Bombyx mori: one gene and its partner. The protein of the gene in region 1 purifies or fractionates together with the protein of each later gene. This does not show direct contact. Links are inferred from orthologs where the notes say so. Each region holds a gene or a part of one and is shown in the gene's direction. Other genes may lie near its edges. The genes, in order: protein kibra and merlin.

Region 1 (3,829 bases):
TCAAATCGAAACGCTTCACGGCAGAAATAGGCAGGGTGGTGGTACCTACCCGTGCGGACTCACAAGACGTCCTACCACTAGTAAAGATGTACTCGTGAAAAATCGACGCAAAAAATAACCAGTGTGTTTAGTGCGAGTTTTTTAACGTTCTCGATAGCGTAAAAGTTAGCTTATATTTGTATGGAATGGAATGTTCCAACTGCATACAAAATTGGCTTAACTTTTACGCTATCGAGATTTTTTTTATATTTATTGCTTAGATGGGTGGACGAGCTCACAGCCCACCTGGTGTTAAGTGGTTACTGGAGCCCATAGACATCTACAACGTAAATGCGCCACCCACTTTGAGATATAATTTCTAAAATCTCAGTATAGTTACAACGGCTGCTCTACTCTTCAGACCGAAACGCATTACTGTTTCACGGCAGAAATAGGCAGGGCGGTGGGTACCTACCCGCTCGGACTAACAAGAGGTCCTACCACCAGTACCGCTACGTTAAAAAACATTAAGAAACTCGCACTAAGCACACGGTACCGGCCACTTGTCGCGTTATCGGTACATATATATCTAACGCATGTCACTATATCGGATCCGTGCGAAACCCACGCCTCGGCTCGTGGCGCTGTCAGTTCGCTAACCAGACAGGCGTTCGCTTTCACGCGCGAGGTCACCGATGGACAGCTGGATAAGAATTAGGTTTTATTGTGCGCCTCCTTTAGGTCGAAAGACAGAGACGGCAGCAGCGAGAACTGGAAGAGAAACTGGCTGAAATGAGGATAGGCGTGGCCACCGGACTGGACGAAGTCACCGGCCTGGCTACAAGTGAGTGCTTCGTTGCTTAGAATCGAACGGTTTTTTGGGTTTGCGGAAGTTGACTTACGAACAGCTTAAAGATGAATTTTTTTTTATTGCTTAGATGGGTGGACGAGCTCACAGCCCACCTGGTGTTAAGTGGTTACTGGAGCTCATAGACATCTACAAGGTAAATGCGCCACCCACCTTGAGATATAAGTTCTAAGGTCTCAGTATAGTTACAAAGGCTATCCCACCCTTCAAACCGAAACGCATTACTGCTTCACGGCAGAAATAGGCGGGGTGGTGATACCTACCCGTGCGGACTCACAAGAGGTCCTACCACCAGTCACATATGGTTTTTTCATATACATGTAGTTTTGAGGCTAACCTACACCCATTTTATAATAATTCCAGTAATCTTCAATTGCTAATTAACACTAAAATATATCTCAAAAGTTAATATTTTAAATTTTACACTCCTTTAGAAAATAATCAGTTTTTTTCATTTCCTGAACTTTTTATATTTTCAGAGATGTGCCCTTTTCGAAATTGCATAATCAATTAATTTTGACCTTAAATATGTTCAGTTCCAGTACAACTCCAAGGTCCGGGTCGACCCTGTGAGCCGCTGTCTCCCATATCGGAGACCCCCCCGCCACCCCTGTCTCCAAGGACTCCCTCGTCTAGTGGTAAATAAACCAATATTCACTATTGCTTAATCTATTATATTAATACGTGAAGCAAAAACTTTGTATCCCTTTTTAAGAAAATTGCGAAGACGGAGGAATATGAAATTTCCCACACTTATAGAGAACATAGAGAAGGAGTGTAGAATGTTAATATTTTTTTTCATTATGCCTAAAAAAATCCATTAAATCAATAAAAGAAACATGACACACACTGCCATGTATTTGACACACACTTAAATACTCTTCGTTTATTGTCAAACTTTTGTTATTGTTTAAAGTCTGTGGTCAAATTGAGAATAGATTAATATTGTTTGTCTTTAATAGTACTGGCGAAATCTGTGATTATAGAAATATAATAAGTCTGATAATATTATAGAACCATAATAATGTTGAAGCTTATAATTTCAATTAACTATAGTCGAATTTCCACTACCAAGGGAACAACTAGTTTCATTTATTCCAGTAAACTTTCCAAAGCTTAGACGAAATCTATGTATGTAAAAATCGTCCCTTCCAATTTCTTAATAGCAAACAAAAAACTTTATTAACCATTAAAATTGATAAAGCATATATTTAGTATAAGGAATACTCGTTGACCAAAGTAGTGTCTAGTGAAGAAATAATGACGTCATAATACAAATTTCAACATTAATCGGGATATTGAAAAAAAAACGAAAAAAAAAAATTAAAATCGCTATTTGCGTATAGTTTTTTATAGTTTAGACGAACAAGCTCTGGACTTAGCTGGTGTTAGGTGGTCACTCACGTGTTCTAACCTTCGGTTCTGTAGTACCACGGCTGCCCTTCAAACCGGAGCATTTGACTGAAAAAACCCATAGACATAACCCACTGAGTTTCTCGCCGGATCTTCTCAGTGGGTCGCGTTTCCGATCCGGTGGTAGATTCTGCGAAGCACTGCTCTTCCTAGGGTTAATGTTAGCAACCACGTCAGGTTTGAGCTCCGTGAGCTCACCTATTTGTTAGGGTTACGCTGAAATGGCCTCTCAAAGCCGTCTGCTTAGGTTGGAATATCAGGCCACCACTAAACTAATAGCTTACTACTACGCAGGTACGAACACTAGATCAGTCTCGGCTGCGGTGAGCGACGAGTCAGTGGCGGGAGACTCGGGGGTGTTCGAAGCGGCGCAAGCGGCCACCGACGCTTCCAACGCCGGTAACATATACGACGACTTCTGATTCATTACACTCTTCATTGGTAGGCAGCGGCGCGACTCTGCCCCTTGTATTGCTGTTGTCCATGGGCGACGGTATCCACTCACCATCAGGTGGACCGTGCGCTCGTCTGCCTACTAGGGCGAAAAAATATATCTGTAGAATGTAAATTAAAATAATTTACGAAAGATTTAGGTAGTAATGTTTGTTTTTAAATATTTATTATTTAAATTTTGATATTCCGTCTCTATATTATCTTAACAATGCGTAAACGAAATGAATGATTTCTTTGCTTCGGGTTCTTTGCTTCGGGATCCCAATAGGCGAAGGTCGATGGATATATTCTTCGTGATCGATTTGTAATATATAAGTGTTAGTTGGAATACCACACTTTTCGCACCTTATGCACCAGATAAAATCTAATAAATAAATCGTGTTTACAGTGAACAGTGCACAAATTGAGATCAAATTGCGTTACTGTCCCGACGAGACTGCGTTGGAGATCGGCATACTGAGGGCTCGGAATCTGCACGCGCTCTTCATCGACATGGGAACCGAAGTGTGAGTGCAACACTAATTTAATTTAATTTAAACAAAATATTATTTGTAAATAATTATCTCGGTAGCAGTAACATAGCGAATAAGCAACATAACTTTTGAATTTATTATATTATACCAGTATGGATAGATGGATGTTATCAGTAGGTACATTAATGATTTGTTTAATAATTTAATATATTATCGAAATATAATTGATTTAAGTATTCACCATATCGGTTTAAGTTATTTTTATTATAAAACACAGATAAAATGTTTTCTGTGTAAACGAAAACAATACTTTTGTGTTACATATATAAGTCGTCTATTATCAAAGGTGGCAATCTGTGCATTTGGACAAAAAATGTTATTGATATGTCAATACAGATTGATTTGAATATAATCGTCTCCTTCAAAGAATACGGTTCAAAACCTGCATTAAATAAAGGTTAATACTTAACCTGTTATTTATCTAAGATGTCGTTCAGAAGAGTTTTGTGACTGCCAATGGAATACAAAGTCAATAATTCGTTTTTCTGATTTACCAATAATTGTCCAAAAGTCACATTGCCGGCTTTGATAATAGTCGACTCAAATGTAAAGCTCATAAATATAATCCTGTAATATTGTATAC
Region 2 (3,829 bases), on another chromosome or scaffold:
ACGGCTGCCCCGCCCTTCAAACCGAAACGCATTACTGCTTCACGGCAGAAATAGGCGGGGCGGTGGTACCTACCCGTGCGGACTCACAAGAGGTCCTATTTTTGCCGTGACGCAGTAATGCGTTTCGGTTTGAAGGGTGGGGCAGCCATTGTGACTATACTGAGACCTTAGAACTATATCTCAAGGTGGGTGGCGCATTTACGTTGTAGATGTCTATGGGCTCCAGTAACCACTTAACACCAGGTGGGCTGTGAGCTCGTCCACACATCTAAGCAATAAAAAAAAAATAAAAAACCTTCAGCGTGGAAGTCAATCGTGAACATTTGTTGAGTACGTATTTCATTAGAAAAATTGGTACCCGCCTGAGATTGAAACACCAGTGCATCGCACAACACGAATGCACCGTCCGGTCTTATCCATTAGACCAGGACGACTTAAACCAGGTCATAAAATCCCATAAAAAATATATTCACGGAGCAAGATGTTTTAAAATGCAATACCTTCTCATCCAGCGCCGGTCCGAGGAGACGGCAGAACTATTAGCTGAGAAAGGTAGAGTAGCAGAGGAAGAAGCGTCTCTACTCGCGCAGAAGGCGGCGGACGCTGAACGAGAGAACGCTAGACTTAGGCTGTCTGCCATCAAGACTGAAGAGGAAAAGGTACGTTTATTACGACACAGTTAAAGTTCATAATGGCTTGTTTTTTAATCCCTCGATCTCGCGACGATCTGGTTTTATTGTATCTAAGTATTACGAATGTCATAATCTAAAAAAATTCAACATCCGATATTTATTTTGTAATAATAAATGCGCATGCAACTTGATGCCCGTGAAAGAAGTGAAACTTCTTTTGCGGTGTGTAGTATTGTGGTTTTCTTCATTTATCCTACTGGTTTTACAATAATATTGCTTTAAATAAATTCGTCTAGAAATTAGTCTAAAGGACCGCGACAAACAAAACTACAAACGAATAAAGTGAATTATAGAAGTTAAACTTCTTTAGGCGCATTCAGAGTAAAATTTAACCCGCGATAGATTTGCTACGTCCATAGAAAAAATATACAATTTAAGAAGGGCCAGAGCGAGAACATAGATAGAGCGTCTAATTTACGTTGTTCTTACGTTATTAAGTAGCTTCTTAGGCTACCATAGATTAGGTAGGGAGAAAAAAATACTTGTTATATAGCACCCTGGTCTGCGAACAGGTACACTTGGAACGCAAGACCCGCGAGGCGGAGTACCTGACGGCGCGGCTGGTCGAGGAGTCGGAGAAAAGGGCCGCCGAAGCCGAGAGACTGAAGGCGGAACTGCTGACCGCCAGAGTGGCGGAGAAACAAGCCAAAGAGAAACTCCTCAACTTCCTCAGCAGGACGTCGACCGGATCCTTGCCGCAGGTAACCTTGTCTACAGTTTGCAGACGCGGACTCCTTGTGTAAGGTTGACGGGCGCTTTCAATCTGTAGGTCGTGGAATAACGCATTTTCAATTTAAATCTTCGACTACCGTCACATCAGCGAAATATAACGTATATCAATATTTCCTTAGGCTTTTGCAAATCGGCTTAATCTACTTCCTTTAAGAGTTTTATTTTTCATTTTTAAGACAAAGTTAGTTTAGTTTGAAAACCGTATCACGATACCAATCGAGTAATTATTAGATTGTCTTTATTCAATACTAGCTGTACCCGTCCGCTTCGCTGGGCATTTAAAATTGACATTATTATTTCTCACCCTCACAAAGATTCTCATCATTTAACGTCCCCCCAACTGGTGTAGGGAGTCCAAGACTCTTATAAATATTAGCCTATCCATTAAGTACATGTATTTTCTACATGGATACCAAGTTTCAAGTCAATCGGATGCATGGTTCAGTAGTTATAACGGAATATCCGTAAAAACTACTGTAGATTTATATATTAGTATAGATATTTTTTATTAAATGTGTCGAGGTATATAACGGTGTTTCTATATTGACGCAGCAATTTCCGGCGTCGCCGACGGTCCCGTGCAGCCTGTTCCCGTCCACGTGCTCGCTGCCCGCCGAGCTGGGGGGCGAAGGCCTGCAGAACGGCGCGGCCGGCGCCCCGGAGCCCGAGCTCAACTCCTACCAGCTCGTGCCCGACGATTCCGACCCGCACATACACAGGCTCTCGCTGGAAATCGAAAAGGAGAGGTTTGTTACTATATATGTCTCTGAGTATGAGCTTATTTTATAGTTGTCTATGGTGGTGGTATTGTCCTACGGGAACCTCATCAGAGCGATCAATAAAAAATATATATATTTCTGACGGGTAGCCATCACAGAACACAATATATTTGACAGTCATTTTCAAGATAAGCTTGCATATCTCTACTGGTGGTAGGACCTCTTGTGAGTCCGCGCGGGTGGGTACCACCACCCTGCCTATTTCAGCCGTGAAGCAGTAATGCGTTTCGGCTTTAAGGGTGGGACTGGCGTTGTAGATGTCTATGGGTTCCAGTAACCACTTAATATCACCTAACTAAGCAATAAAAAAATATATATACAAGTTCCGAACAACAACATTGGGATCGTCGGTCTACCGAGCAATATCTCCCGCTCGGTGGAAGATCTTCCTGTTATAGTATACCTACATATATCATTCCCCTATATAAATAACAGTAGAATTAATCAGTGTCACTTGAGGTTCGAACCGAGTATGCGAAGTAATGCTTCTAGGCTACACACACACAAAGACATTTTTTTTAATGGGATTTTATGACCTGGTAACTAAGACCTTTAGGTCATATCTTATTTTAATTCATATTCTTAGTTTTATGAAAAAATGATAATATGGAGTGAAATTAAATGAAAATGATTAATTTGAGACATCAATCAACTGGCATGAAATTAAATGAAATGAGATGAGATGATATGGGACACATAAAGACATTCGCAATATTTGAAGTCGCTCGGGGGCTCGCCGGTGTCCGCAGTAGAGGCATGAGGTCCGCGTTGTGCCCACAGGGTGGAGTACCTGGCCAAGTCGAAGCACCTCCAAGCCCAGCTGGAGTCCCTGCGCGGGGAGTTCAGCGTGCTGCGGGGCGAGGGGCGCGGGGAGGGGCGCGGCACGCTGGACCGGCAGCACGCCGCGCGCCCCGACGACAAGTACTCCACGCTGCGCCGCCTGCGGCAGGGCTCCACGGGGCAGCGCCTCGCCTTCTACGAGGATCTGTGAACGGTATGACGTTTAAGTAAGATTAACATTATCGAAGTTAAACTTCGCTGGTCTCGTTAATAATAAAGTGACGTCGAGTTACTGGTGGTAGTAGTTTTTGTGCTTTACTCTGTGTATAATAGTCTGCCGTGAAGCAGTAATGCGTTTCGGTTTGAAGGGTGGGGCAGCCGTGTAACTGTACTGAGATCTTAGAACTTATATCTCAAGGTGGGTGGCGCATTTACGTTGTAGATGTCCATGGGCTCCAGTAACCACTTAACACCAGGTGGGCTGTGAGCTCGTCCACCCATCTAAGCAATAAAAAAAAGCCTTTGCTCGCCCACCTGTCCTGGTGAAACTGGAAAGGCCTCCGGGCCATCAGTAATCATTAAATCCAAAAAAATATCTTTAAATCGCAGGTAGGGTTGCCACGCCGCCTGCTGTCTGGACGTAGTGCTGATTGGGCCCAGGACGCCAATAAAGGGTTCCGTATGTTGGAAAACAATTAACGGGAATATTACGTTTTTTTTTATGAAGAAATGTGCCATTGACAAACTCTTGGGAGATGAGATCGCGCGAGTTGTACCAACAGCATCCCGATGATAATCCATAAATAGTTCAATTCACAAACGCGACAACTAGATAGTTTCTATTTT

Evidence for each region.
Region 2: the proteins of protein kibra (region 1) and merlin purify together in Drosophila melanogaster (affinity purification with western blotting; 3 studies listed by BioGRID). This does not show direct contact. The link is inferred for Bombyx mori from reciprocal best matches to the Drosophila melanogaster genes kibra and Mer.

What each region holds. Positions count from the first base shown.
Region 1 is NC_085120.1:6,101,878-6,105,706, forward strand, and holds part of protein kibra, read left to right. Parts: intron 1-720; coding exon 721-823; intron 824-1,383; coding exon 1,384-1,485; intron 1,486-2,554; coding exon 2,555-2,659; intron 2,660-3,101; coding exon 3,102-3,219; intron 3,220-3,829. UniProt on the Drosophila melanogaster protein: Regulator of the Hippo/SWH (Sav/Wts/Hpo) signaling pathway, a signaling pathway that plays a pivotal role in organ size control and tumor suppression by restricting proliferation and promoting apoptosis.
Region 2 is NC_085122.1:2,596,328-2,600,156, reverse strand, and holds part of merlin, read left to right. Parts: intron 1-512; coding exon 513-659; intron 660-1,204; coding exon 1,205-1,393; intron 1,394-1,976; coding exon 1,977-2,170; intron 2,171-2,983; coding exon 2,984-3,194; 3' UTR 3,195-3,197; intron 3,198-3,592; exon of another isoform or gene 3,593-3,829. UniProt on the Drosophila melanogaster protein: Regulator of the Hippo/SWH (Sav/Wts/Hpo) signaling pathway, a signaling pathway that plays a pivotal role in organ size control and tumor suppression by restricting proliferation and promoting apoptosis.